4 linked regions of the Struthio camelus genome follow. The protein of the gene in region 1 purifies or fractionates together with the protein of each later gene. This does not show direct contact. Links are inferred from orthologs where the notes say so. Each region holds a gene or a part of one and is shown in the gene's direction. Other genes may lie near its edges.

Evidence for each region.
Region 2: the proteins of SMC3 (region 1) and PDS5B purify together in Homo sapiens (co-immunoprecipitation; 7 studies listed by BioGRID and IntAct, with this or other methods). This does not show direct contact. The link is inferred for Struthio camelus from reciprocal best matches to the Homo sapiens genes SMC3 and PDS5B.
Region 3: the proteins of SMC3 (region 1) and PDS5A purify together in Homo sapiens (affinity purification with western blotting; 8 studies listed by BioGRID and IntAct, with this or other methods). This does not show direct contact. The link is inferred for Struthio camelus from reciprocal best matches to the Homo sapiens genes SMC3 and PDS5A.
Region 4: the proteins of SMC3 (region 1) and USP13 purify together in Homo sapiens (affinity purification with mass spectrometry; 4 studies listed by BioGRID and IntAct, with this or other methods). This does not show direct contact. The link is inferred for Struthio camelus from reciprocal best matches to the Homo sapiens genes SMC3 and USP13.

Annotation. Positions count from the first base shown.
Region 1 is NC_090948.1:12,332,421-12,340,339, reverse strand, and holds the start of SMC3 (structural maintenance of chromosomes protein 3), read left to right. Parts: upstream 1-4,911; 5' UTR 4,912-4,942; coding exon 4,943-5,173; intron 5,174-7,919. UniProt on the Homo sapiens protein: Central component of cohesin, a complex required for chromosome cohesion during the cell cycle. The cohesin complex may form a large proteinaceous ring within which sister chromatids can be trapped.
Region 2 is NC_090942.1:198,627,524-198,635,188, reverse strand, and holds the start of PDS5B (sister chromatid cohesion protein PDS5 homolog B), read left to right. Parts: upstream 1-4,649; 5' UTR 4,650-4,778; intron 4,779-5,441; exon of another isoform or gene 5,442-5,460; intron 5,461-7,665. UniProt on the Homo sapiens protein: Regulator of sister chromatid cohesion in mitosis which may stabilize cohesin complex association with chromatin. May couple sister chromatid cohesion during mitosis to DNA replication.
Region 3 is NC_090945.1:61,488,989-61,496,338, forward strand, and holds the start of PDS5A (sister chromatid cohesion protein PDS5 homolog A), read left to right. Parts: upstream 1-4,339; 5' UTR 4,340-4,462; coding exon 4,463-4,479; intron 4,480-7,350. UniProt on the Homo sapiens protein: Probable regulator of sister chromatid cohesion in mitosis which may stabilize cohesin complex association with chromatin. May couple sister chromatid cohesion during mitosis to DNA replication.
Region 4 is NC_090950.1:24,654,035-24,661,822, reverse strand, and holds the start of USP13 (ubiquitin carboxyl-terminal hydrolase 13), read left to right. Parts: upstream 1-4,788; 5' UTR 4,789-4,908; coding exon 4,909-5,067; intron 5,068-7,788. UniProt on the Homo sapiens protein: Deubiquitinase that mediates deubiquitination of target proteins such as BECN1, MITF, SKP2 and USP10 and is involved in various processes such as autophagy, endoplasmic reticulum-associated degradation (ERAD), cell cycle progression or DNA damage response.

The DNA of each region.
Region 1 (7,919 bases):
GCGAGCTGACGATCGAGCCCTTTCCTTGCCTGGTATTTAAAACAAAATAGGGTTAAAATGCAGAGCAAATATTGCTTTCACAAAATTTCCCAATGTAAGAAGGCTCTTGTTTCGTAAGAGTGAATAAAAATATTGACGTTTTCTATTCTTTTGCAGCTAAAATAAGGCCTCTTCCTATTGCATAAATATGAACCTAGCTTCGTTTGGCGGTTTCATCCTGCGCCATCTGCTGGTAGAAATCCATTGCATGTGTTCTGAATTACCTCTGATATTTAATTAATTTCATATTTGTGTAATGGTTTGTTTTATAAAATTAGTGAACCAAATTAAATTAATTCAACCACAACCACATTTTATTTATAAAGAGGCTCTGCTGAAAGATGATGAGCAGAACAACTACTTTCCCTTAATAAACCTGCAACATATTCAGCGGTAATAAAATACATCTTTGCAAAAGCAACCTTTTTCTATTACTTATTTGCTGCTGTTGTTTTACCCTATCACTCTCTTCTTGCCAAGCGTGGTAGCTTCATTAAAATGTTTCTTTATGCATGAATACTATGATAGTCAATGATAATTATTTACTTTTACACATGAAAAGGATTGTAGAGCACTAGGAAAATATACTTTTTCGAAAAGGAACTGCCCGACTGTTGCAAGTTGTTTAAAGGGAACATAAGCAGTCTGAAAAGAAGAGAGTACCGACCACCCTGAAATAACTGGGGTGTTTGGCAGGGCTCCATAACTTGACTGTTTTGTTGGCTGTCTCCCCCTGGGAGCTTATAAACGCAGAGCAGCTGCCTGATGAAGAAGAGCTGCTCACAGCATGGACCACAGGCAAGCAGCTGCCTCCCCAAGCCGATGGGCAAAGGAGCAGCTACGACCTCGCCTCTCCTCCTCCCAAAGGAGCGTGGCCAGCAGCTCAGCACCACCAAGCCGCAGGCACGAGCACCCTCGACACCGATTGCGGTGCTCTTGCGCTTTCCCTGTAGGTCTCCCACGTGGACAGCGTGCCAGGTGCAGGCCTGCACATGTGGCCCCGGTGATCTTGGCACCACAGTGGGTGGTGGGAAACAGGTGTCCTGTCTCTACAGCTCGGATGCCACCACCTACTGCAGCACAGCTACAGCCTGGACCTGCAATTACACCCACCACCTTATCAAACATAACATAACATAAGGGTCTTGCAGGTTTCAGGCTTCCACTTACTTTTTAACAGGCAGCTGCTCACTGATGAAAGTACAAGCCTCAGGTGTGTGGTGGTCAGACTCTTGCGCTGTAAGATGACTGGGGTGACTACAGAGCTTCAGAGAGCAAGAAACACCAGTAACTTTGCTCTGGAGAAAAGTTTCCTTGGAAAGGAAAGCTCCTTGGCTTGTATGCTTTTCAGAATAAGTACCCCTGCTCCTGCAAAGCCTGCAGTGTTGAGCGCCTTGTCCGAAGCCCGGGACCATGGAGAAAGAAGATGGGCTGGTTTTTCTCCCTTCATTTGCTGTAACTTCCACTGAATTCAAAGGTGAGAGAAAGATGTGGCTCAGGATTAGTGCTTTCCATGGAGAATTTAGGAGAACTAGAGGTATTCTTGGCTGTCCCACAGCTATGCTGCTTAACCTCAGACAAGATGTTGTTTCACTGTCTTTGTTTCTCAAGTGAAAAATAGAATAATCACCCTATAGATAGCTGTGCGTTCAGACTGCCAGCTCAGAGGCAGAGGCTTTGTTTAAATATGGGTTGCTGCAGTGTCTAATACAAGGAGCCCCTAACCTCAGGATCGCTCTTTAGCTCCTGCTGTAATACCAGCATTAACAAGAAGTGGCCCCAAGGGTGCTCTGTTGTCTGCCTTCCCTGCTGCAATGACTCGGAATGATGAAGCAGAAGTGATTGATGTTGTCAGTGAGCCTAGCGATTTCCACAATCATCTAAAAATGTGGCTTTCAATACCCTCAGTAATTACAACCAGTGATGAAGAAAAGCAGGCTATACGTGTGTTGGTTCACAACTGAATGCGGTAATAGAAAAGATAATAATACACTTTAAATGTTTTTTAAAAGATTTAAAAAGCTTTTTTTGAAAAGAAAATTAACTATTTGAGAAGCTAGAAATTTGAAATTCCATCTATATGTTCCCATTAAGTTTGATTAAAGAGATAACTGATGTATGTTTTATGCTGATGAAGCCAGGATGAATTAAAGCAGTGTTCCCACTTTCTCCTTTCTAATGCTAATGTTTAATTACAGTATATTTACAGAAAAACACTGCTTATAAAACAGGGCCATAGAAAAAAGTATGTAAGCTCTGCAGCAGCTACTGAAGAGATGCATTAATGCAAATGCCACGTGTAGCAAGCTCTGACTATTATATGTTTGCAGGTGCTGAATAAAGTATACTGTTTTACTAGCTGCCTGTAGCAGTGGCAGCTTGGCAGAATAAAGACGACACACGTTGCCCTTGGATCGGGTGTATATTTCCAGGGTGGTCTACAAAACAACCCCTGCACTCCACTAATCCCCTCCCTCACATAAAAACCTCAGTTAATACTAATAAAAGGTATGTGACAAAACCTGTGTGCGGGGAGATGTAAATACATCTGCAACACCTGCCCACTCTTTGAACAAGACTGTTGGTTGCCACAATATTTCTTAATGAACATGACTGGTATTTTTTTAAGTACATGACACTGGCGGGTGCTTTGTGATGAAACATCAACGTGATATGATCTTATTCCTATGAATAAATATAACCTGGTGTCTGCACAGCTGTGTACACACAGAATTCATTTCTGAACTGCAAAAGTATGTTGTATACTAGCCATCCACAACCAGGAACGAATACATGTGAATAAAAAAGACCTCAGGTCTATATTTGTGTCTGTTCATAACATAGAGTTTGATATACTCGTTGCTATGCCTCAATAACAGCCAGCTGCCTGAGGCACCAAATGTAGCTGGGCTAGTAGGTTATGGGGTCTTGGCTCTTAGAGCTTTGACTGGAGCCAGGGTTTTCAGGAGGACTTAGCGCATCCAGGTACAATAATGTCAGTGCAGCAGTCAAGAGAAAAGCAAAATCTTCCTTGGCTGATGACCTCTCTTATGTTCCTCAGTTGCCTCTTTAGGGGAGGAAGATTAAATCTTAGCTCTGGGATTCTATGGTTAAGTGAAAACAAGTTTCTAGACCTTGCAGCTACAGAGGAAAGCTGGAAAACGTGACTCAAGGCACCTTATAGCTCTAAAATCAGACGATGAAGAGGAATGCATTTTTAAAATTTGTCAATTTTAAAATGTTTCTGTGGCTATTACTGCCTTCAGAAACTAGTTTTGAATGCCTCTCCTCCACCTTCACTGAAGTATCTCAGCTGAGGTCAATGGTTAGTATCACACGACTTCACCGAGTGGTGTGATACTAACAGTCTCAAAGGCATCAAGCATCTCGTTTCCTGACTTCTGAGTACTTCACTGTGTGATTTTTAAAAGTTACAAGTTAATCAGGAATGTGTAGCTCCATTCTGTTTATTTATCTGCAAAATAGTAACACAAAATTGGTTTAAATAATTAATTTTAACCACATGTAGGACTGGTTAAGTGTGTTGTGAAGAAAATTCCCTCATTCTTCTCTATGTTCTTGTTTTTATCCCTAGTCAGACCTGAAATGGTGGCATCCGTAATTCACTTCTTCCCTGAAAAAGCGAAGATTAAAATCTATCACGCGTACCAAACCCAGGAGGATGCTGTGAGACTCCTTGAAATCCTACGGTAGCAACTCTGAAAATGCAAACGGGGAAAATATTTTCCTCGAGTTTGAGCATTTTAAGTAGTACAGAACAAAGCCGAGCAGGAAATTTTCTTTCCGGAGTTGCTCAGTAGAACAACTCACTAAATACTTCAGCTTTTTAAGCCCTGTATTTTCTGAAGAAGCAACGGACCGCTTCTTTGAAGGTGTAGGTGAAATCTATTACATCAGCCTCCTGATGGCCCTTTACTAAAGCCATTTCGTTAAAGGGCAGTTAAGAAAGGGCCAGGGCCGGCTGGGGGGTTTCACCTTAAGCAAGGGCAGCGACCCGTCCACCCGCCCCTCCGGGGTCAGGAAGGAACCAGAAGGTTCCGTTCGACCCCGCTTCGCGTCCGCCGGCGCGGGCCGAAACGCCGACTTCGAGCGTCGTCAAACCGAAAATCCTGTTTTCTCTGACATGCGGTGCCCCTGCTCCTCTCACAGTTAACGTCTGGAATGACCCTTACTGAAAGGGATTAAAAGAAAGTTAACGCTTCTCTCCCTTCGCTTCGTTTATTTTGTGCGTCGGACAGCCCTTCGCGGAGCTGAATATTGGAGATATCTCTGGGAGATACACGGGTAGACACAGACTCAAGCGGGTCTTTCTTGCTCTATTTTTTTTCTGACGTTATTGACGTCATTCCTGTTCCTTAACTCCTCCGGAGCAAAGACGTACACCTGTGCCTTCGCCAGAGCTTTACAAATAAAGCTAAACAGCGGCGAAGGGGCCCGAAACTCACTCGGAGCCTCGGACCTGCCAGCCGCTTGGGCCACTGGCGTCAGGCGGAGCCGGCGGCGGTGGCAGGGCGGGCGATGGCCGGCGCGGGTCGCGGTCACGCGTGGGGCGGCCGCCACCGCCTCCCCACACCCGGTCCCGCTGCTTCCCCCCTGCTCGGCTCACACTTGCCTTTGGCGCCTAACCCGCCCCCCAGGGGGAGAAACCATTTTTCCCAACTCTCCGGGGGGGCCTCCCTGCGGCGCCGGGAGGAGCCGTCGCCCCGTCGCACTTCTCTCCGTCGTCACGCCTTGGGAAGGCCAAAGAGGTACTTTAGATGCTTCAGCAAAGGAAATGCTCGTGCTTTTCCGTGTGATGTCCCTCCTCTGGCGGAGCAGGGGCGCTTCCTCCGCCCCGCTCCACCCCCTCCCGACCGCGCTGAATGGTTCGCGCCGGGACGGGATGGGGGAGGCTCCGCCGCCATTTTGTTTGTGTGAGGGGCGAGCGCCGCGCTGCGCCGCCGAGTCGGGGGAAGCTGACGGGCCTGGAGGCGACGGCGACGACCACCGCGACCACTCGGGGCCACGACGAGCGCTCGTGCCGGGAGGAGACCGTGGGGGGCAGGCTGAGCGGCGGCAAGAGGCACCGGGGCGGCAGCCTCTCCCATCCGCCGGAGACATGTACATCAAGCAGGTAAGGCGCCGGCGGCCGAGCCGCCCGCCCTGCGCGGCGCCGGCTGGGCCCGGGCCTGTCGCGGCGCGGCCCGTCCCGCCGCCGCGGCCCGTCCCGCCTGCGGCCGGGCGGCAGGGCCAGGCCCCGGCCCGCAGCCGGAGACGTGCTACTGGGTGGCGGGCCCGAAGGCCTTTACTTGGCGATCCGCTTGCCCGGGTGGGGGGAGGCCGCCGTTCCCCTCCCCGGGAGGGGTGTGCGGCCCGTCTCCCTGCTGGGCTGGCGGCTGCCTCTGCCGCCCCGGTGCCTGCGGGCGGTTTCATTCATTGTTCGCGCGCGCTGGGGTCGGGGAGGGGAGGCGCTGTCGGAGCCAGGGTCCCCCTGCGGGCTCCGCGGGGACCCTCCGGACGGGGCGGCCCTGGTGTTCGCGGCCCTCCCGGCGGCGGTGCCCAGCACGGCGGCTGACCCTGGACCCGGGAGGATCGTCCCTACGCGGGTCTCGTAAATGGCTATCCTTAGCTGTCAGGAAGCGTCTTTCAGCTGTTAAGGATTCTGTTTGTTTGCTTGCTTGCTTTTTAATTTGTGTGTGTTTTCGTGTGAGGAAGTGTGCCTGCATTTAAGGTTTCAATTCAAAGCGTTTCTGATGGCCCCTTCTCCCGAGAGAGTTACTGCTCGTATTGGGGTGCTGCCTTGGACCACCGGACGTGGACCGTTTTGGCTGCACACCTCACCCTTGGCAAGCAAACTACAGTTAACGTTCAGTTAAAGAGAAAGTCTGTGCAGGGTCCTTAATTTTTAATGGTTGCTTTCCTAGCACTGCTTATGTATGTTCAAATAAAACTGCTAGGATTCCTGTTTCTTAGTGGACTCAAAATTAATCTGGTGTTCGGCCACTCTGCAGGTATCTTTAGTAAGAACCTTTACATTTGAAGGTGTTTTCTATGTAAAAACAGGTTTTCATAAGCTGTTTGGGTGTCGAGGAAGTGTTGCAGGTGCTTTTTTGATAGTGTTCTAGTAAGTCCCTCTGTATCATTGTAAGTGCACGCTTTAAAATGGTTGAATAAGATTTTTTGTTCTACAAACTTGAGTTGCATAAAGATAAATAGTAGTGAAAGATGTATATGGAATCATGTTAAGCGGCCCAAATTAGGGAAAACAGGGGGAACGAGTTTCATTTGGAAAAGTAAATTTAGCTGAACCATGAGCTGTACTGTTCTAGGGGCAATAGAAGAGAGCGTAACAACGTATGAATCTTAAGAAGAAAGAGGATGAAGGTGGCATTAGGAAGAAATAACTGCTGGAACCAAAATCATTCCTGAACTTTGAAAATTAAAATGATTTAAGTCTTAATTTGAGGCTATGCAAGGCAGTGCAGAAGTTATGAACGTTCAGAACATGTAGGATGGGTGATGTGAGAAGCCCTCTAGAAAAAATCCTTTTGCGGAAAAGAATGGTGTTCTCAGTCTGCTTGTACCATAGCTTTTAAGTGTTGCATGGGTATGTAGATGGCCCAAGTTTGTGCCTGCATAGTAACATCTATGAAATAATGGTTGGGGGGAGTTCAGCTTTTTGTAGAGACTTTCAGATTGCTTTGGGAATAAAGTAGATAGATTACTCCAATCCAGACAATTTTAAGGTATTAGAGGTAAACGGGAAAAATACTAGCAACTGAATTTTTACTGCTCTTTTAATTTTCTTTTGAAAACTGGTGAATGGGAAAACAGCACTGTTTGGGCAGTATAATTATTTATTTATTTTTAATAAACCAGCATGCAGTTGCTGTGGCCTAGAGCTGTTTGCAGGACCAGAGTACGAATTCTGCAGCTGTTGTTGCTTTTTGAAAGCCGCTGATGCTGAGGCAGAGCTGGCTGTTACTGTGACAAGCTCCTTTTGGAGGGTGAGGCAGGCTGGCTCCTGGGGGAAGTGTTTGTACTCACAGCCATAACGAGTGATAGTGTTCAGTTAGTGCATTGTCTTAAACTTGCTTATTGCTTGCCCCGTTAAATTCTGAAATTCTAAATTATTTCCAAACACAGTTGCTTTGGGTTTAGATGTGAATACAGTGCAGGTACTTCAGTGATTGTAATTGATGGTGATGACCAAGAAAATGGTGTTTTGCCCACAGAAAAAAGGGTCACAAAGCATCTGCAGTTACAAAAAGATTTAGGCAGGCTAAGTACTGCAGGATGTGGCAGAGACTATTTCTATTCCAAAATAAAAAATATAGCTGCTGTTACTTAGATCTGATTTATGATGGTTACGGATCAATGTTTTTCTGCCTGTTCATCTCCTTAGCTTCATATTCTAGTAGTGGAAACATTTTGCAAAGGGGGCTTAACGAGGGAAGTGCAGCATCTGGAAGGAGAGAGAAGGGCTCTTTGACTTCTGAGTAACGGTTAGTCAATACCTTTAAGTTATATTTCATTTAAAGTTTAATAAACTCAGAGTGTTGGATTTGTTGTCCGGCACGCCATTTTCACTCTTATCAGTGAAACAGTTTTAATTTACTAAAGCAAGCAGTTAGGAAGAGGCATTTTCTGTGATCATTCCCTGATTATGAGCTGTCAAATGGAGTGATGACTAAGTGACTGAGATCAAACTTCTGATGAATAAATAGGCATCTTGTTGCTCTCCCTGTCTTTTGTCTGATAAGTTTTATGGATGAAGTTATCTCCCACTGTTTGTTTAGCATATATTACCAGAACATTGCAGAATGTAAATGTGATCCTGGAAATACTTGTTTCTTGAATTGTTCAGGTGTAGAGTGAGT
Region 2 (7,665 bases), on another chromosome or scaffold:
CATTTGAGATAGATTGCAAAGGCTGTGAGGGGAAAAAAGGTAAAATCATGCCAAAGTAGTGGAAATAAATTTTTATTTTTTCTGTTGTGTTATATATTTTATAAAGTGCTGGAGATGGCTAAGATTTATAGAAAAAGCAATAATATATAACAGAATAAAGACAGCCTGTCCCCTGGATTCTGCTTTTTCCATGGAACACTCTTTTTGGAAGTGATTTCAGTAAGGAGACTATGGGGTTTGCTGCACTGGAGTTGAGATCTTCTTCTGTGTCAGAGTAGCTTAAAGGACCTAATCCTTTAAGCTAGATGGGAGAAAAAATGGAATGGCAAAGTTATCACTCTTGGTATTCAGAAGGGGATTTGAGGTGTTAAATTCAGAAGACAAATGAAAGCGCTGGTATACATGGAGGGACTAAAAGGCGAAAGATGTACAGAGATTTGCACTTGCAAATGGCTCAGGGTTACTATAATAAGGAAGGAGACTCAGTGAAAATGTTTAGTCAGTCTTCTGATGGTGATATTACCTTGACAGTTGGAGAAAAGTCAGCAATGTGGTCTCCCAGAGATGTTTGGGTTTGCTGCTATTGTTTTAAGATGTTGTTTTATTCAGTATCTTTGTCAATGACCTGGAAAAGGGAGTGCATATTGAATGATACTTGGATGATGTTAAGCTCTTCTGGGTAATCAACTGTGGTGCGAGTGGCAAGAACTCCAGAAAGCCTCACAAAACTGAATGGATAGAAAAATGGCAGGTGGGCTTTGAGGTAGATTAATGTGAGGTAAAACATAGGATTATCTGCCAATCCTGGATATTTAAACTCAGAAAAAATCTTGAAGGTATTGTTAACAAGCCCTCTGAAATCTTTGGCTCAAAGTGCAGCAGCAGCTGAAGAAGCCAACGAAAAGTTAGGTGTCATCAGAAAGAGCAGAGACCAAGAGGGAGGGCAGCATGCTACTATGGGAAGCCTTGATGTACCCTTATCTGAAGTGAGTACAGTGTGCAGTTCTGGGCTGCAAGGGCACAGCAAATTTCAAGAAGGTATGGAGAAGGATAACTAAAATGATCAAGGGGGTAGATTGGCTGTCTTAGGAGGAGAGATCAAAGGGGTTAGGACTCTGACTGCGACAGGGCAAGGATGGGAGGCGTAGGGTCAAATTTTACAGATCAGGAAGGCACTGGATAAGGTGAATGCAGAACTGTTGCATGAAGAATACTAGAACTGGGGGCTATTTGCTGTTCTGGAATCTGCTGCCAAAGGAGGCTATGAAAATATACACTATCAGCAGGTTCAAAAGGGGACTAGACAAACCAATGGACAACAGGTCCATAAAATGGATTCTAAATGGAATAGGCAGGGATACCCCTGTTTGTACATCTTGTACAAACCAGAGATGTCAACATGCCTATTACAGCAATTGTGGATGCTGGGAGTGTACAATGCACAGAAAGTAAGCAGGTCTCCTTCAGTAGTATCTCCTTTTGCTATTGTTCTTGTTTATACAGATAAAAGCATAAATGCAATCTCCTAGTGCGACAAATTATGCTTTCAAGTTTTCTGCATTTGGGGAAATTGCATACCTTGCACTTGCAGGGTATGAGTCTCACTTGGGGAAAATGACATTTCAGATCATGGTGCAGCTGAAAACCAGGCTAGACGGACTACTGGTGTGTCTCAGAAGGGCATTTTCCGTCTTGAGGAGGTTCTGTGTATTACTCTGGCTAAGGTAAAGAGCTGCCTTTCATTGTACTCTGCTATTTTTGCACCATGTTTTTGCAGATAGAAAGCTGAGATACAGGCACTTCTATGAGGAGAGTACTGTTTTCTAGGATGTTCTTTGGGATGTTCATTGTCCCTTAAACGTAGGGCGATGTGAACACTGTCTTCACGAAATTCTGTGTAAAAGTTTTGGTCTTCATAATCTGGCTTTCTCTGTATGACATACTCAGCAAAACATTATTCAATTGTGTGTACATATTGTGAGTCTTCCATAAGATTATACACATTATTGATAAGTAACATCATACATTTATCATTTCTTTTGCCTGTATTTCTAGAAGGGGGCAAAACTAGTAAAATGAGTCTGCTTACGGTCGTCCAGTGCCCTGTGAGATGTGATGTTTCTTGGGGGAGGCACTGAGTCCACCTTCAGGAACCTGCTTCTATAGATTACACAGGGTAGTTCTTTTTAGGACTGGATCAGAAAGGCGCTGGCTGCTTGCTGTTCCCTCCCTAACCTAGAATTTAGGTCCCCACACAGCAGCATTAAAACTTCCCAAAGTATTTTCTGAAGAAACTCCGGTGAAACGCGTATGACTAAGTCAACAAATGACTGTTGAGAAGGTGGTATTTCGGCTCTCCGGTTACAGACGGGGCTGACGCGCGGGGTAGCGGCGGCTCCCTGCTGCCTCCTGCAGCCTCGCGCCGGCGTCGGCCGTTGGGCGCCCCCTCAGCGCTCCAACGGCCGCCAGCAACGGCCACTCGGGCGGCCGCCATGGGGGGCGCGCGGCACTCCTCAAACGGCGGCCACCGCCACGCTTTGCGCCCCTCCGCGCGAACCGGAGGGGGATCTCTGGTAACGCTTCAGGAGGGCAGTTTGAAGTTTAGCAACGGATTTCTTCTCACGAAGAGAAGCGCTGTCGGAAGGGCTCCCTCGTGAGGGTTAGGAACGCTATTACCGCTGAGCTGCAGAGAGCCAAACGCCATTAATCCCTGTAGTAAGCATCTTGGGGATGTTTGTGCTGTATTTTAACTATCTCACAATTAAGAGGGGGTGGAGAAACGGAGGAATACCTCAGAAAGTTGACCTCTGAAATCTTAGAGTCTAACTCCAGGCAAGAAATGAAGGCCAGACGGTAAATGGGGGGCTGGCCTCCCGTTGCCCTGCTACCAAGGCACTTCACCTTATTTCACTTTCAAATCATTCCTAGGCATCCTGATATGAGGTGAAAGTGTGAAGTGCTACTGTAGCCTGTTCTAGCAGGAAAAGGGAGCAAAAGATAAACATATTTGCAAACAGAGTATGGCAACACAATAGTTACTTTCACATTATACACATGGTTTTGCAACTTCAATAGCTGTATGAATATTCAGCTTGTCTACTGTTTTGTATATATCACTGTACGCATGTGCAAGTGCTCCATTAAAAAAAGAGATGTGTTCCATAACTTAAGAGCTGATATCTAGATAAGCCAGCACAATGGGAGGATTGCAGAGAAATTGTTCAACTTATGTGAAAAAATTATATCCTTGACTGCAAGTGCAGGATGCTTCCCAGTGATAATCAGTAATATAAAATTGCCAGACAAAATATTTTCTTTTTTGTGCCTGTGCAGTAGTATGTTCATTTTCCAGAAGAGTAGGACAAATAGTTCACTCTCAGAAATGTAAACAAGGGTAGTTTTGGGCCTGAAAAGTCATTTCTATGTAATAGTTTTTGCATTTTTATCTTGATAGGACTGATGTAGATTTGGTTAGAAGATGAGGATGTTTAACTGAGTTTAAAATTTGGATGAAAGTGAAGCAAGCTGTTTTAAATGTGTTAGCAGAAAGCTTGAGGAATTTATTTAAAGATTTAAAATATTAGCCAAGATGTTATAACTAACACACACTTTAAAAGATGATTGTATCCCACTGTAGACAAAGCCTTGAAAGTATTTCAGCAGATCTGCTGACTAGGACTTTCACATCTTTTAAATCATAACACTTTGGACACATCTATTGTCTTCAGACATCTCATTCGTAAATGTAGCATTTTCTATGTAGCAATGAGATTAAATTACATCACTTTTCTGTTCTTATTTTCCTGTCAGAATACCCCCTGAAACTCTTGCACTCACTGAAGTGCAACCAAAGGGTTTGATGAGCAATTGCTCATCAACTTTTTTTCTGCTTTCTCCACAGCTGAGCATCTTTATTCCTCATTGTTTTATAACAAGCATTTTATAATTCATATTGTCTTGGGGAAGTATTTATTTCATTAATTTGCACAGCAGAACAGCAAATCTACCACAGTTCATCTGTCAACTGATTGCACAGTCCTCTCTGGATTTGGGCCATTTGCTGCATCTCCTGTGCACGGTCTTTGATTTCTGAAACTGTTGGCAGTTTATACTGCTAGGATTGCTGAAGTAAGGTCGTCTGCTTGCCTGCAAACCTCGTGTTAGTTTTTCTAAGTCTCTTTTCTCGCTTTAAGCCATGATTCACAGTGGCGTGTAACTACTGAACGTCTTCCGGGGAGGTAGGGTTCGTCGCCGCTTCCCTTGCTGGAAAGTGAGGGAGGGCTGTATTGGGCCCCGGGGCACGGGTATGCATGGAGGGGGGTGGCGGCCGTGGCTCGCTTTCTCCCCTCGCCTGGAAGCGGTGCTTGGGGTCCTAGCCCGCGGCGCCAGGGCAGCGGGTGTCCCTGAGTGGCGTTGGGGCGCCGCGGGCCGGCTCGGCGCGGCGGCCGGACGCCGTTTCGCGGAGTTTCGCCGCGGGCCGTGTGACCGGCGGTCCCGGCGCGTGCCCGCGCCGGCGCGGCGCCGCGCGGGCCGGCAGGGGGCGCTGCTGTCCCGCACTGGCCTCGCTCGCTTCCCTCGGCGGTTCCATTGGAGCAGCCGGAGACGAGTTGGCGCCATTTTGAAGCCGACAGGGGGACCGGGGCGAGCTGCGGAAGGGGAGGGGGTTAGAGGCGATTGGCTGCGGCTACGGCGGCAGCTCCTCTCCGAGCCCAGAGCAGCGGCAGCGCGGAGCGGACCCGCCTGGGACCAGCGAGGCGAGGCGAGGCGGCTGCAGTGGGGTAAGGAGCACGGCAGCTCGGCCGCGGTTACCCCCCCCCCCCCGTCCACCGCTCCTCGGCGGGGGCGGGGGGCGCCAGCTCGGACCGAGCTCCGCGGCCAGCGCTTGAGGAAGAGGAGAAGCGCGGGGTGAGGGGGGGAGCTCTCCCCGTGGCCCGGGACTTGAGCCCCCTCCCATCCCCCCCACCCCTTCGCGGGGCTGCTCCCCTCCCCCCTTTCCCGGGGCTGGCGTCGCAAATTAAATTTGCCGCCCCCCTCCGCGCCCGCGGAGAGGCCCCGCGAGGGGGTGACCTTGGCTGGGGTGTGCTGTGCCCCCAGCTCGGCGCTGTGGTCTGGGGGTCACCCCCCCCCCCCCAGTGGCCGGGGCGCTCGCGGCTGTCCGGCGGGCGGCGTCGCGCGCTCAGCGCCCGTGGCTCCTGGCGGGGGGGGTAGTGGCGGGCGGGGGGAGGGAGGCTGTTCTCCAGCGCTGGTGATCGCGGCTCCAGCGGGTGTCCCCTCCCTGCCCCGTGCAGCTGGCCTAGCCCCGCTCGGGCTGCACCCAGGGCTCCCGCCGCCGCCTCGCGCCGCTGCCCGGGCTTGGCCAAAGACCCCCCCCCCCCCACCGCCGTTTCGTTCTCTCCCCGCTCTGCACTTAGCAGTGATCCTCGGCCGGGAAGAGGTGGGGACCGGGAGGACCTCGGTTCGGTGAGTCCCCACTTGCTGCGAGCTCGTTTCATTCAGGCTGATTTTTTTTTTTTTAATTCTTTGCATCAGGCTCTGTTAGAAGGCACCCGCGAAGGAAAGACGGGGGGGAGTAGGGACTGCCTTTTAGACGAAGGACTATGAATTTTACATCTAAATTGCCAGATGAAGAGTGGTTAATTTATAGGTTTTGTATTGTTTACGTTGAGAGCCTCTGGTCAGGAATCTAGGTCTGTAACTTCATCCCGCTGCAAATAAATCACTATCTATTTTTCAAAACAAATCAACAATTAATGATGGTGAGCAATGCTGGAAAATTAAACTGCAGCAGACCAGCTCCTACAGAGCTGGGTTTTGTTGTGCAAGCCTTATTCTGACTTGCATGTTTGACTCCTGAGCGGTTACTTACGGAGAACTCTGATCATTTGGTTAGGCATTCTATTTTCCGACCTAACACAACTGCTGAAATGTTTTTATGTTGGTCTTTGTTTTGCGTTTGATGGGTAGGTGCTTTGGCTGTAATTGACTTCTCTTTGCTGACGATGGCATAGATGAAATGCTTAAAAAGTGAGCGCCTGTATAGTTAAAAATGGGTGTCAAAGCCTGTGTTTTAGGAGGGAGGTAAGGTGACGTGCATGCCTTCAGGTTTTTTCCTTCCAAACCAGTGGAATTCTTCTATTTTTCTGTATTTCTGATAGAAATTCTACTCAGCGCATTTTCTGTGTAATATAGATACGCTATAAATATTGTATGTGCTTGTACAAAGTAATACTTCAGAAAGACATGAAACAGCTGAATTTACCTTATGCTCAGAGTATTCTAAAAGAAACTGAGAGTGATGAACGTGATACATACACCTCACTTAAATTATCTTTATCTGATTGTCTATCACTTACATCACTAGTGCACGCTTTCAGGAGAAAGTAGTTTAGTACTTGCGTGACATCTTGTGTTTGTGTTTGAAGTAAGGCTGTACTTTATTATGGTGAGGGTGTTTTTTGGTTTTTGGCTTTTTTTTTAGTTCTTATTGTACAACTGTAATTGCCTGTGTGTCTCTTGCGTTCTCTTCACTATTTATTGGACAGACTGGATAACTGTTTTGGCAAAAACTAAACTACAGTTTAGTTATTGTAAAAAGTAAATCAAATTCAAATGGAAAATCATATGTATGTAACATTTGTATGCTAACATCTTTTTATCTTGTGTGCCATATAAATATTACTTTAAGAATGTGTCTAGCAAGCTTACATATAGAGTTAAATTGAGCAAGTCGACTAAATTCTTATTAAGCTGTAATTAAAAATACAAGAAACACCGGTAGTTGATAGTATTTGGAAAGAGTATAGTATTAAAACATGAGCATGACCTCAGGCGTTATCCATTTTTGGCTGTAGAACAGGACGCTGTGCTCCCTTCCATAGAGCAAAAGAGATGCTTTTTCTGTTGGGATACATTGCTCCATCAGGATCTCAGGTTATGTTTTTTCTTTATTCTCTCTGATTCTTTCTTTGCTCACACAATTTGAGCCCATACAAAAGAGTAAAAGGTTGTATGGTCATATGTAGGAGTCATGTAGTAAAGGTTCTTCATTTATAGGTTTTGGACTAAATGTTTTCTTTAAGGCTAAGTTTTGAAGAGATGGTACAGGCTACTTGTTGCACAAGGAGAATTTCAGGGGAGCAGTGTCTAAGAAAACGTGAAGATGGATGATAAAAGTGTGCCAAGTAGGGAATGGAGGAAAGTAAGATACAAATGGAGCGAAACTGATACGGAAAAATAACAAATTCTAATGTCCCTTTTCCTACCTTTCTTTAATATTATTTTGCCCAAATGCTTACCTTCTACTTTCTTGATATAGTCTCCACCTCCCTCCTTCCCCCTCTCCCCCCCCCAGCACTTCCTTAATAAGTTTCCTTATTAGAACAAAAAGGTAGTTCTGGTACTGACAACTGGTAAGATTGTGTATCATACTTCTTTCAGTAAGTTTCTAAAGTAGTGGTGTTTGTACCCTGAACACAGAATCTTATTATTGTAACCTGAAATAGGCTTTGGAAAGACTGACAAAATCTTGAAGGCTTTCAGTCTGCTTTGGGAACTAGCTGGAAAGGGAAAACTGAGGAAACTCATTGCTTTTTTTTTTTTTTTTTTTTTAAGGGTGTTAGGCAGCGTGATCATCCTTGGTAGGAAAGTATTCATGTTGATTTACCC
Region 3 (7,350 bases), on another chromosome or scaffold:
AGCTACTGCTGAAACTCTAAACGTGGCTGGGCCTGAAGGGAACTGGCTCTCAATGACTCAGACTCCAGAGCATGAATCTCCAGACCTATGCAGACACCTGGCAAGGCTTCTGCTATATGACCAGGTCCTGGTTCAGGCACTTCCACATATGAAGCCTTCTCCACTCTACAGTCTCCTCCTGCATCTGCTACACAGAACGATCCAAAGCTGGCACTGTCCAGCCAACTTTCTGCAGTATATTCTGTTCCTACCTGAAGGTCTGTTTCAAGTCCTTCAAAAGTCTGCTGTGCAAATAGGGCTGCACCCTGGTGATCCCCAGCTGCCATATCTCTGGTGACGAATCTCTCACAATTCCCAGTTCTGGTAACTCCAAATGAAGGTTTGTTGCACATTGGGATGAAGCTGAAGCACAAGAAATGTTTGGACTTCAGCACAGGCCCAAATACAGAAACAGAAAAAAGATATATTCAGGTTTGCAGAAAGCATTTGCAATAAGAGGTCACAGATGAGAAGAAAATGACTGCTGGAGCATCAGAGCACAATGTGTGCTGGAACATGAGCCAGGTTTTTCACCAAGGTGATATCGAGTTACCGGTGACCTCAGAACAGTAGAGAACACATCAGAAAGCCAGGGATCCAGGTTGGAAAAGGGCATAAAACAGTTTGTAAATTTTGCTGGCGGTCCACACACAACGCCACTCCAAAATATTTTATCACACCAAAATATGCCACAATGAAACCTAATACACTTACCAACTTACACTGATTCAAGTTGCATCATATCAATGCAACTTAAAAAAATGCAAAACAGGAATGATAGTTTGTTCATGCAGATACATCCTAAAATAATGCTAAATATCTGGGGGAATCCACTAGATCAGGTCCTAGGCTGGAAACCACATCATGCGAATCTATCAGTAGAATATTATCTACTTCATGTGTTTAAATTCACTCCCTTTTCTGAGGCCACTAGGCCAACTGAACATAGCACATACACAGCTATTACACTAAAAAAAAAAAAAACTTAATGTAAACCACAGATAGATGACCTCATCCAGATCCAGGTACATCAATGAAAAATGGCATTGCCTCCAAATTACTGTCAATATCTATTTCAACAAGACTTAACCCTATTAATTTACCTCCAGAAAGCAATACACAAGTTCACCTCACATGATTTAAAAGAAAAGACGAGAGAGCAGAGGAGAGAGAGCAGAGGAGAGAGAGCAGAGGAGAGAGAGCAGAGGAGAGAGAGCAGAGGAGAGAGAGCAGAGGAGAGAGAGAAAAGAAAAAGGTCAGCCAGCTCAGCTTAAATAGCTGTAAATGCTGGTTTTAACTAATAACATTTTTGAATGGAATGTGGATCATTTACATAAACCATCCTGCTGATAGATCAAAATCCCCAGTGGAGTCATGAGAAGAAACAGCTGGAGAGCTTAACCTCTTCCACAAGCACAGCTGGATTCAGGAGAAAACATGGCCTTATTTAATTCTGAGAGGTAGTGTAACATAACACTTAATGGCCCTACTGACATTTTTATAGTAGCAAAGCCTCTGTAGTTTAGACAAAGGCAGCAACTTCCTAAAACTCAGGATTAATAATCTACAACTTTTACTGGAGCTAACTACACATAGAAAAAGTCTATTCAAAACAGAAACATGACTGATTATTTCAGTCATTTAGTGTAGACTACAGATCAGCACACAGGGAGGAGTCAAAGACAACAGGCCATGACACACCTCAGAACTACAACCATCCTACATGCCTATTACAACATCTTCATACAGTAACCCAAGACAACATAATTCTCTTTTTTAAATTGGACAAGGTCACAGCTAATGATCCACCTACACCACACAGTGAAACAGTTGTGAATATGCCATAGATGTTCCCTAAAACCATGCCCAGGCTAACATTTTTGTCACCTCTATTGCACTTTTGCATTTGCAACACTAAGAATCTGGCTTCTCTCCCACATTAGTGCTCTCCTTAGATGAAACGTACTAGCGTTAATACAACAGAGGGAGACTTCTTAAAGAAATCGAGTGTAAACAAAGGCATGAAAAGCACAGGAAAATACCACACTAAAAAAAAAGAACACAAATGAAGAAAGCCTATAAAGGAAAGCATTCTTAAGATGTGCTTGGATGCTGTTAGATTTCCTTTGTAGGCTCTACACACGGGTATAACCTACAGCAAGACAAACTACTGCAACTTAAAAGCACTACAAACACGTGACACAAGCTAGCCCTACCCTAGTAATGGTGACTACACCCCAGGTAAAGCGGGGCTAGAACTGTCGTGATTTCAAATACTCTGGATGTCTCTGCTACTCTGTAATTTGCTTCAGGTTTGTGTCTTAAGCTTATACTCTCCAATCATATCCCAAGTCCTATTGTATAAAGCTTTTACTTCAGTAGCCAATCCTGAAGCTAGGATTTGCCACTCAGTAAAGGTGAAACGGCTGAGGAGCAACTTCATCATCATCTTTGTTCTTTTGCTTCACCTGAAACCTCTTCCAAACAACTTGCGTAGGATTTGTGCTTAAGTTCCGTATGAATTATTGTCGTATTTTAACCACAAGGTCCCACCAAAAGCCTCATAAGACTTGAGACACATACTAAACTTTGTCAAGAGAGTAAAACGTTCCCGGAGTCAGCGTTCAAATCGTTATTAGTTCGGGACAAGAGTTAAGGGCGTACTGCTCTTCAGTATGTTTTCTTCCCTCCCCTCTGAAGCCCCTACGACCTTAGGGCACTCGATTAGCAGAACTGCAGAATACGTGCAGAACATCTCCCAAAGCATACGTGAACACTACGCTGCAACTTTGGAAACGTGCTTCTTTCAGCAGTTTTAGACCGTTCAAAATAAAAGCCTTAAAGCAGTAAAAATCTTTTGATTTCGTTTTGAAGGAAACTTCGTAAACGGCCCACTTAACTCACTGGGTTCTGCTCTCTGAGAAGCAGAGTAGGGACACCGTCCTCGACACGGCTGCTCAGGGCGAGCGGCGCGGCGTTTCCCCCGGTTTCAGAGCGGCGGCTCTTTCCACAGGGGGCTCCGGGGCTGCTGGTGCCGCCGGGCGGCAACCAGCCCCCTCGGAGGCCGCTGGGGAGGAGGAGGAGGAGGAGGAGGAGGAGGAGGGAGGGAGAACGACTCGGGCGTTTCCGAGAGAAAACCGGTCGCCGCGGCCGCCGCCTACGCAGTTACAGGCCGGGCAGAGCCGCAGCGAGGCAGCGGCGGGGGCGGCGTGACCAGTTCGCCCCCCGCACGCACGCACACACGCACGCAGCGAGGGCCGGGGCAGACCCACAGCCCTTCACCGGGCCCGCGCGAGGCGGGCAGCCCAGCGGCAAGGCCGGCCCGAGGCCCCCGCGCAGCGCAGGGCCCAGCCCCAGCCCCGCCATTCACGGCCCGCGCTCCCCGGCCTGCCTCCCTCCCCCGCTGCGGGCCGGGGGCGGCGGCGCAGGGGGCGGCTCCCGCGAGCCGGGCCGGGCCCCCTCCCCGCCGAGGCAGGTGGCTGGCGACGGGCCGCCCGCAGGGCCGAGCCCCTCGGCTCGCGGGAGCACCCGCCCCGCTCCCTCCCCTCCCGTGACGCCGGGGACCGGCCTGCCGGCGCCGCCCGCGCTCGCTCGGCAGCCGCCGAGGGGCGCGGGCCGCCTCCCCGCGCCCGCCGCCGACATGGCGGGCCGCCGCCGGGCCGCGGGCTAGGCCTCGCTGGCGCCGCCGCCGGGCCGCCTCGTCCTCCGCCAGCCCCGCGCCCTATGGGGAGGAGGGGGAGGACGAGGCTCGTGCCCGGCTCCTGCCGCTTCTCGCCGGACGCGGCCGGCCTTTACCGTGTCTCGCCGTGTCCCTGGCCCTCGGCTCCCTCGCTTCTGGCGGCGGCGGCGGCTGCCGCTCGGGGAGGAGCAGGGACCGGGGAGCGGCGCGGCGGCGGCCGGCGAGAGGGGGAGCGGCGGAGCGTGCGCCGCGGGGACACAGTGCCGCTCTCCGTCCGGCCGGGGAAGAACAGCCCGGGAGGAGGCTCCGCGCCCGCTCCCGGCCCCCTCCCCTCCCTCCCTCCGCCCGCCGCGCCGCGCCGCCCAGGCCGGCCGCCGGCCGCCCGCCCCGGCCCTGGCCCCGGCCCCCGCCTCGGGGCCGCTGCCAGCCCGGCTCGGCCCGGGCGGTGGTGCAGGCGGCGGCCTCACTCTAAAGGAAGTCGTTTGGGAAGGAAAACAAGCGATTTAGGAAGGGGCGGGAGGCAGGGGAGTGAAGTCCTGCGCCATGAAAGGCAGGCCGTGTTTAGTCTGCGGGCTGGCTAATTGCCGTCCTTGTCTCTGGATGGTTGCGCTTAACCGCCCTTTTCACGTCGTTAGCGATAAAACTGGCCGCTGGCTTCGCGTCTTAATCTTTGAAAAAAGGAACTGTATGCTGCACTGCTGTGGCAGAATCTGTGTTGAGAGATAGACTTTGCTTAGAAAGGGCATGACGACAGGATGCAGGTGGGTGCAGCGGAGAACTGCAGGTCGAGGACAGCAGGGTAGTTACGGCTATCAGCCGCGTAGCGACTGGTGGGCTTTGGATCAGTAATGAAAAGGAAGGGTGTTCCGTGTCTAGTGCCGCTGCCCTGTGTTACTAGCAGTTTATAACGTGGCAGCAGAAGAGTTCTGAGCGCGGTCTAGAACGAGGCTGATTCTGGGGCAGAAACTAGCGTTTCCGCGGCCGTCACGGGATCGGCGGTGTTCGTGAAGGAGCAGGAGGAGAGCGGAGGGGTCTGGCGCCTGCCGCGGGGTGGAGGAGGGAGCGGCAGCGCCGGGCGAGAGAAGGAGTACCGCGTTAGCGGAGGGTTTCGTTAGAGAGACGTTTACTTCTGCAACAAGCAATGAGCACTTGACAGATGGACAGTCATGCAAAAGAGGGTATAATAAACAGATTTTATTTACGTGTATGAGTAATATATATATGTATAGTATCATATATAAAAAACCGGAAGAATCCTGATCAACCTTACCCATTAGCTGATTTCCAAGAACCGCACTTACATGTATAGCCATAGGCCTCCTTGAAAGCTCTGTCTCGCTGCCTGGGCCAGCCAGATAATAGGGCAGGGTCTCAACTGCTTATCTTCCTGCTTTTCACTTGGCTCCAGGAGGATGATGATTTTTTCTCACATCCCTCCTTTGTGCCTCCATTGTCTCGAGAGACCTCCCCTTCCATCTGTATTCAACCATCTCCCATCGTGGCACAATACCGCAGGAGGAAGTTAGCTGGAGATGTCACACTGCGATTTTCCTAGTGAACAGAAGCTTCTTCTCTTGTGAAAGAAGAGAATCATTTCTTCCCCAAAGGGAGTAATATTGTCTCCCATCACGATCTTCACTTGCATTGTAATTCATCCAATTCAGAGAACAAGGTGGTTTTCTCCCAGCCTAATTTCTCTTTCATTTTCCTTCGAAGAGGGAAACAAGAAGTGGCCTTTAACAGACAGCTTACACTGAAGCGCTACTTATTTAGCACCTAAGCTTACATCCTTCATCACAAGAAAGATCAGGAAAAGTCACTGCCAGTTTTGTGTCGCAGTGACTCCTGCTCCCGCAGCTGCTTCCTTTTGCAGTCTCGCTATTGTTTCACTTCACTGTCAGGGCTGACCTGTTTGCATTAGAGCTGCAACTTTAATGTGAATAAAGAACCAGAAAGTACAAAAATAATTGATAGTTTTAAGACGAACTAATTATGGGGTGGCTCACTTGTGAAACTGCAGAAGGGTGCTCAAAGTAACTTGATCACAATCCCCAACTGCCTTCCATCTGATAGCAGAGTAAGTGAAAAGCAAATCATTTTTGTCTCCAGGATTGCATGTGTTCTTGCAATACAAATAATGTTAACATTCTGAAAATGGTATTAAAAGCATTTAGTATGATTTAGGAATGAAATTGATTTAGGCATTGTTAATTTGCCAGTCACTCTGGTATTTCAGTGGTTATCTTGTAGTTATATGGTATGCTACATTTAAATAAATAAGACCAAACATTTACATTTCTAATACAATACTTAAAAGCATTCAGTCCACAGAATGTGCTGGTAGGTTTAAAAAAGAAAAAAAAAGACTCTGCTATGACTCAGTGAAGTAAAATAAGAAATTCTTCAATATACTAATATTATAAATGTCCAAAAATATGGAGGAGAACAAATATTGATCAGAATTTGTGTGTTTGGTGCCAAGTGGTGTTTTCATGCATGTACAAGGAAGCGTTTGCTTAATTTTTTCAGTATCTGGACAAGTATCAGAAACAAAATCTTTTCTCTTTAAGGGCGTGATGCTGGTAACGTGTTAATCATACGTTTGGAAAGATAGGTCATGTAAATTCCAGTCTAATGACTTTGTCTTTATATTTTTAAGTTGCCAAAAAAGAGGAAGAGAAAGGTTTTTAGCATGCTTGAATCTGATAGCCTCCATTGAACTGCATTGCTAGTGGGGTGTTGCTGCTGGCACTTCATGCATGAAAGTATGTTGTTCTTTGCCAGTTGTACACATTACAGTATTTGACACCATGAAAATGCCAGACTAATTTGGGTACTGGCAGATTTCTCACTACTTCAGTTAACACTTTAAATAGGAGGGATATTGGCATCTAGATAGTTGAAAGAACCTCTGGTACAGTGAGTGATTATAATTATCTGTATTCCTTTTTTTTATTTTCACACAACTATTTTCAAACAACACAGTAATCACCTATTATCTGTTAATTTTTTTTCATTCCTTTGTCTCTCCTTATGTCTACAGTTGGCTTGTTTTACTTGGAATGGCTTGAACATACAGCATGTAATCTGTGCTGTTTGGCACAAGTGTTTAGTCTGGTCTTCGGTGAATACTTTCATGACAGATTTTTCCATTTCAGTTTCTGCAATGCTGCCTCTTCAAATAAAAACATTTTACTGTGTTCTTGCTTATCTTATAGTTCACATTAAAATATTATTACCAAAGATGAGCCATAAAAACAAGAAAATGACAATCACTTTTACTGTTTTTGATTATATACAGCCTACTAAGACCACTCAGCAAATTTGCACCTGCTTTCTTTCTATGCAAAAACAATTTGCAGCTTAAAGTTTGAGTAACATTATGGTATATTAAGATAGACATATTTATCTTTGTCAGGTTTAAAGACAGTTTTATTTCTACTTGCAATAGCATATTGAATTTGCAATAATATATAGTATAGGAAAACATCTGAGAAATAGGGTACGTTAAAATATAAATAATGCTACCTGACAAATTTGTCACGCCTGACAAATTCATGCCTGCCTTCAGTAATCTAAAACAAGTTATCTTTCAAGGAACTTGAGGCATAATCTTCATCCTTATTGAGAGT
Region 4 (7,788 bases), on another chromosome or scaffold:
TTAAATGAATTACCAACAAGTTGTGACTGAATTATGCAATATGCATCCTGCTGTTCAGTGAATTAAATTTAAAAAAAAAATCGTTTTTGTTGGTTCGAGTAATTGGAAAGAAGCTGTGCAGGGTATAGTTGTTAAACTTATTAATCAGAGAAAAGGCCTCATGTCAGTTGCCAACAGTTACTCTTTTTCTCCGGAGCATCAACACAGAATGGGCTTTGTGACCTGATCTGTGTGAAACAACTTGATAATATTAGAATCCATCATGCGATTTCTCTTACCTAAAGTTGTAAATGAAAGATACAAACAACTGTAAGGCTTTTTTCTTTTATGATGCCTTGTGACAGATAATTTGTGGAAAATGAACCAAATCAGAAGAAAGTCTTTAGGTCTTTGGAATATTGTCACTGTAGACAAGCGCTATCTTTCTCGTTACCTGGAGTCAAACCAGGCTTTCACTCTTTGTTCCAAACTTGCATCTTATTCAGTCAGCTATTGTTTTCCCTGTGTTATCTCAAAAGGTGTCTTTCTTTACCTATCTGTTAATACCCTTATTCTTTGATGGCGTCAGCCAAGCAGCTTCTTCCTTCATTAGTTATTTTGGCACCACTTTTAAACTTTTCCTCTTATTTTTAAGATCATGCATAATTTATGCTTGTCTGTTTTCCCATTTTCTCCAGTCCCACCTCCTTCTGCCTCCTTCTGTACAGCCTATGTTTCTAAAAGACTTTTCTTAGAGACTATTTAAAAAAAAAAAAAAGGAAAGGGAAGGGAAGAAAAAAAGGCTTATCTTTGCTTCTTTCTGAACTGGACACTTCTCCCTTTGTCTAGATCATCCAAAAAGTGAGGTATTCTAAAACGTCTTGCCACGTTGCTCTGTTCTGTTGACACTTTGATTTTTTTCAGTGAGGTACATTTCATATAATACCTGCTTCCTTTTCTAATGGATCTAAAACGGAGCCACATACCCCCTTTGGGGCAGAAAGTGTCTTCATAGATGCAGGTTTAAACCAAGTCAGTGCTCTGTAATACATTAACACTTCAAAAAACTCATACTGAGAGGTACCTACCCGTTATGTTACATAATTTTAATTTTAAAAATGAGTATCGGGTGACTTGGAGAATTGCATGCCTAGTGGTTGTCCAGAGGACTATCTTTTTATATTTTCATGAGGCTTTAGGTTTTTTTTACCTCAGATCCTACCTGTGTTTTGAGAAGGCTGAATTAAGACAGAAACACTTGCCTAAACCTGTAGCGATTACTATCCATATTGTCAGCTGTAGGACTAGAAAGCAAATGAAAACTTCTTAAATATTTAAGAAAAGTGTGTAGTATATATAAACTCAAGTCTTTATGACTTTAAGGCTTTTTGTAAGTTTAAGTCTTTCATGTATTCTTGAAAATATCCTGCAGTTCTTAGGTTAAAGTCTATGGTCTGTCATGTAGAACTTGCTTCATTGTTAGGAAGACTCTAAGCGGGCAAATATGAAACGAAGTATTTTCCTAGTAACTGCTGTATATCTAATTTTTTAGCGATGTAGTGACATTATTGATACTGCTGTTCAACAGAGTTTTCTTACTGTAACAGGCTTAGTAATATGAAGAAGGGAAAAATAGGAAACTGCTTCGTGAAGGTTGTTACGAAAGGGTTGCTTGAAGTCTGAAGAGCAAGGATCAAGCCAAAGAGAACTGCATAGGTAGACATTGATTAATGTTTTTCATGGATAATATTACTGCAGGTAAACAGATACCATCTTCTGCTGTTTGTTGGCAGTTTTTAGCATGTACAAATCAAAGTCCTAAATAACACTCTCAAGGTGAAAATTTCAAAACTTTATACTCCCAAAGTATGTAATATAGAGAGACGGTATAAGAGACTTCACAGATGAAAAAGACAGTCCTCTCTCTGGTAACACTTGAGTGTATTTTAAAGGCTTCTTTTCCAAGGTGAACTGGAATCAAAAAGCAAAACAAAAGAGTTTATATATAAGTTGAGTAGAAATGTGCTCTCCAACTGTGGTTAATCAGGAACAAATTAAGAAATACGTAAGGGGAACGAAGCAAATAGAGATCCAGGATGTTACATAAACAGAATACTGAATATTGGTAATTATCTAGCATGATCTGGTCTGCCTAGCTGGAAGGGGCTGTATATTGTGTATGAAGTCCTATCTCTGTTGTTTTTTTTTTTTTAATATTATCAGTTTCTTCCATAAAATAAGAAATTAAAGATGGTGTAAATGAGGAATGATCCTCATACAGTTTTAACACCTATTTCGTCAATTGCTGCATGTTAGTGAAGGTATAGAAGTTACATACAGAAAATACCAAACAAGGCAAACAGATAGGAACGGTAGGACTGCAGATGCAAACAAAAAGCTTTGAAATTTAGTTAGTATTACAAGCTTTTTTACTTATTTTGCATTTTGCTACTTTACATTTCTCTGAAGAGTATTACCGTATTCAAAACCAATTTTGTTACAATCGGTTTGCAGATGTTAGCAGAAGTTAGGCCTTTACTGAAGATCAAGTAAGAACATACTTAAATCTGAAACAATTACTTAAGAGCACTTCAAGAGGAGGCTGCCTACTTTCACGTTTGTAAGAATGGAATTGCTTGATGATTTTTATACATGACAACAGTGAACAAGTACCTTCTGGGATAGCATTAGTTGTTTTAAGCTGCATGTGAGGACATCCGTACACGTGCCTGCCATGCATTTTCAAAAGTATGCAGCCTTTCAGGGCTACTAAGATGATGAAGGGACTGGAGCACCTCTCCTATGAGGAAAGGCTAAGGAAGCTGGGACTCTTCATCCTGGAGAAGAGAAGACTGAGGGGGGATCTGATCAATGTGTATAAGTATCTGAAGGGAAAACAGCAAGAGGATGGGGCCAGACTCTTCTCCGTGGTGCCCAGCGATAGGACAAGAGGCAACGGGCACAAACTGAAACCCAGGAAGTTTCATTTGAACATGAGGAAAAACTTTACTGTGAGGGTGGCTGAGCACTGACTGGCACAGGTTGCCCAGAGAGGCGGTGGAGTCTCCATCCTTGGAGATATTCAAGAGCTGTCTGGGACAGGGTCCTGGGCAAAGTGCTCTAGGTGACTTTGCCTGAGTGGGGGGGGGTTGACTAGATGATCTCCAGAGGTCCCTTCCATCTGCAACCATTCTGTGATTCTGTGATTTTTCTATACCACTTTTGGAAAAAAAAAAGTTGGGAATAAATAGGTTACTCTTTTTTTCTGACAGGCTTTTGCCACTAGAGGGATACGTTTCCTCAGGTTCTAATGGCCATAGTATTCCTCTAGTTTTAAATCCCGTAACAGAGGGAAAGACTGTGCCTTTCTTAGTTTGTGACCCTACATTACCTGTTCACACTGAAATTTCCACTTTTTTTTTTTAAAAAAGGAAGTAAGCCCAACCTCTTTGGCAAATCCTGGTCATCTTGTGGTTTCAGACTGCTAAAACCTAATTAATTACTTTCATTATATTGAGCAATAGTACATAGAATATTTGAAGTAAACACTCATTTGCTGTTTCCTAACACTGCCAAACATTAGGAAGACTCTAATTGATTTAGGATTTCTTATGTTATGATTCGTTGATGTAAATTCTATTCTTGTGGAAGTCTAAAGCCATTCCATTGAGCTCATATTCTGCTTGCGGTATTTCACAGGCTTCCCACCACTTGATTTTGCTTGAAAAATTGCTGAGACGAGGCTATACTGGTTAGCTTACGCTCGCAGCCCATTTCTTTATTGCTGGATACGAACCTGTGGTTTTTCAGCTCTGTTGTTAATTCAGAACCACCTTTTGAACCTTTAGTTTTTGAGGTTAAAAGTGCTCCTAGCAAAGGTCACACGTACACAGATTGCTGTGAAGTGTTACAAACTTTTATTTTCAATTGCCTGCTTGCAGGTGGTCCATGAGCCCTTGGATTTAATGTCAGCTACAGCCGGAAGGCCACTCATCTAAATTATCTGGCTTTAATTTTAAATGGACCAGTCTTTTCTTTAATCCTGCTGCTGCTAATCCTGTCAGGCGTACGCAGTTAGATATCGTTTGAAAAACCTCGTGATTTCGAGTAGGGTACTTTCAGTTACTTCCCTCTTCCTCTACTGCTATCGGTATTCTGTCACAGTGAGAAGAGCACCCCTGCAGAAGTGGGAGAAGGTCACCGTAGACTTAAGACACTGTGCCTCAGCACCGGACATCCGCGTTCAGCCGCGGGCACTGCCGCAGGCTCCCACCGTCGCCTCACGCAGAGCAGTTTAACTCCCCTGGGCATCGCTTCCACCTTACCAGCTGTTTCGCTTCGCCGAGATAACTCATACACCGTTCAGGCAGGGGCGCTGCCTTGTTCCGCTGAAATACAACACCCTCCGTAGCGGGGTGGTGACAAATCCGCTCGTACGCGCAGAGAAAAACCTGTACCCAATCTACGCCGTATCACGGCTAATTGGGGGGGGGGAGGGGGAGGGGCGCGGCGGCCCCTCAGCGCCGGGCGCCCCGTAACGGTCGCCGGCGGCGCGCGGGGCGGGGCCGGGCCGCCCCGGAGCCGGGGTGGCGGCGGCGGGCCCTGCCGCCCCCGCGGGCGGCCTCGGAGGCCGGAGGTGCCTGAGAGGCAGGGGCGGAGGCGGCGGGGGGCCGCCCGCCCTGCCCCTCCTTCCCGCCCTCGCCGGGACCCCGAGGTGCCGCCGCAGCTGGTGCCGCTCCTGCTGCCATTGGATTAAAAATAGCATCTTCCCTCCCCCTTCCCCTCCCCCAGGCCCGGCTCCCGCCGCCGCTGCCGCCGCCGCCACCGCTACCGCCGCGCCCTGCCCTGCCCCGGGCCCGGCTGCCCTCCGCCTCCATTGCCCGCTCGCCGTCGGCCGGCCGGAGGCAGCGAGCGACCGAGCGAGCGAACATGCAGCGGGCCGCGCTCTTCGGCGGCGGCGGCGGCGATGCGCAGATGGCCGCCGGGGACCTGGGCGAGCTGCTGGTCCCCTACATGCCCACGATCCGGGTGCCCAAGTCAGGGGACCGGGTCTACAAGACGGAGTGCGCCTTCTCCTACGACTCGCCTGTGAGTGCAGCGAAGCCGCCGCCGGCTGCCTCCGCTTCCCCCCCCCTCACCCCGCCGGCTGCCGACCTACCCCTCTCCCAGCGCCCTGCGGCAGCTCTGCCGCCGCCCCGCTGCCTCTTCCCCCGCTCCCGGCTGCTCCCCAGCCCCGGGGCAGCTTCCCCCAGGCCTCAGCCTCCCTGCCCTCCCCCTACCCCCCCGCGGCTTCTTCCTTAGCCAGGTTTCCCTCGCCACCCCCGGGCTGCAGCCCCTTCCCTTCCCGGGGGTCCCGGCCGCGCCGCCGGCTCCCCTCGCCCCCTCAGCCTGCGGGTGCCCCGGCTGGCAGCCGCCGGCATGGCGGGATGTGTCCGCGCTCTGTCGCAGCTGAGGACTCCTCTGACAAGCACGTCGCCGCCAGCTTGTATGCAGCGCTAGTATTGGCTTCTGTGGGGTTTCTGTTGTTGTTTTCTAGGGAACTTTTCTATCGCCTGGGAAATCGTTTCTGGTTCTCCAGGGTGGGCATGCTCTCCCTGTGTAACCCTTGTTTTCAGGTTGGTACTGAGATAGTAAAAAGCAGAAGGAGCTGACGTTCTCGTTCGCATGTTTTTGGCTAGGAAAAAGCCAATGGTTTTGCTTGCCTACCGTATCACTGCTTATCCTCCTGTTGATGATCTTTTAAGGAAGTCTTCAAAGAAGTTCAACCTGAAAATCAGTGTGAAAGTCTTCCTGAAATACTTTCCCTCCTGGCGTTTTGGTTAGGTCACTAGACTTCAAAGAACGCGTATTTCCTCACTAGCTTATTTAGTTTGTTGTTAAATGAATGTTTGATGCGTAGTAACTTTCTATGATGTTATAGTTGTCTTGCAAAGCATCCGCAAGCTCCACAAATGCATGTATTGTGTTGCAGATTTGGGGCCCTACTCGTTTTTTAACTTTGCTGAAAACATTGGAAACCTTAATAAATAGTGAGTGGATACTGTGTAGGAAACACGTGTTTAGAAATTGCACTTTTTAAATGGAGCTGAAATTTTTTTAAAGATTGCTTCTCTACATTAGGCTGAGGTTTCTCAAAGGTGACTGAGCGCTCTGTATTGCTGTAAAGTTAAAGTTAATGACAGCAATCTGAAGGAAGCTCAGTGTTTACATGACAGGATAGTCAATTAAAGATATGTTTGAGATGGACTTTTGAGCATGTTATTCCTCTCTCTTTAATATTTTCCTCTAATGCAAAAAAATCAAAATTGGTTTCAAAGGTGACTCAGCTGTCTGGTGTTCATCATGTCTTGTTGAACAGAGGTTATTTTTACCCGCACTCTTCAGATCTCAAGTGTCACCTAGCAGCCCTGGCTGTACCGGCAGGCAGTCTGATTAAAATTGCCAAATCAGACTCTACTGCAGAGGCGCTAATTACATTATATACTAAGTAAGGGTTGGGGGGGGAATCAATATACCACAATTCTTTCTTGAAATTTTTGCTTGGGTGAACACTAGAAATAATACTTTCAGGTGGCTTGGACCTTATGGTCTATAAAAAGTTTCCTTTAACCAGTAGGAAGAGATATCAAATTCTGTTACAGATTAAAAAGCATTAATCAACACCCCTCCCTGCAACAGATGTCAAATAAACACAGCGAAACTTTTTTTTTTTTTTTAAGCAAAACAATATATTGGAGCAAAACATAAAGTATTTGAGGAAAGCTCAAATAAGCTTAACAAAAGCTACATATAAGCATAGGAAAAGGAGCTGGAATCACCAAGTGCGATTTTCAAAACTGTTTCATCCCATTCACTTTTTTGGCAAGAGAGTCAGGTTTTGAAAACGTTGGCCTTGGCCATTAGAGACTTTTTGTTGAAAGGTATTCATTAGGCAAAAGGCTCTGACTGAATTCATGCAATACCAGTAAAAATTATATTATGCTCTATTTCCATTGTCTAGTTTTCCACGGCTTTTCAGCCTGTACTGGTCCTTGACTTGGTTGGGTAAAAGACTTGTCTCCAGAAAATGTATTCGTTATTCCCATGTAACCTAACAGATATTTGGATATTGTTTCTAGGATAGCTGGTTCTAAAAGACAAATGTGTGCTTTTGGGGGTAAAACACCATCATTTACAAATTTGAAAACAGCAAAACTTTATTTTTACAGTCTTCCGCCCAGAAGAGAAGGTGAAAGAAGGATACAGACAGATTGTCCCCTTGGTTAAAAAAAGGGATTTATCTCAGTGTGCTTTGTATTAGGTTGTCTTAGTGACTTATTTTCTGAGGTCAACTACGTATAGCCTAAGTGAGTGAATTCCTATTGAGGTGTCTGCCTCTTTTTGAAAGATGCGCAGTTTTTTTTTTCCTCCCCTATAATATTAAAGTAAATGATAAATGTTAAAAGCATGTCCTCTGGGGTTTATTGTCTATAGTAAAATTCCAGATAACTTAGTCGACTAGGAAGGTGTTTTCCATTGTAAGCTTATTTCTCAGTACGTCCTCGCATCTCCTCATTTTGCCATTTCGAGTATGTTCTTTGTTCAGCTCTTCTCTGTTTCGAGTCAGCTCGAGGCAAGATGTTTTGTTTTGTCACTCTTCTTCAATACCAGATTTTATTTCAGTAGTTTATTCCATTAACACCGTAAAACTCTCTCTCAAGCTTTACCTTTGATTCTTTTCCTATTCAGGCAAGTAAATTTCCTGAGTATTTTGGAACTTAATACTTTGGTCAACTAATTTTTGTATGCACTTTTCTTAAGTGATATGCC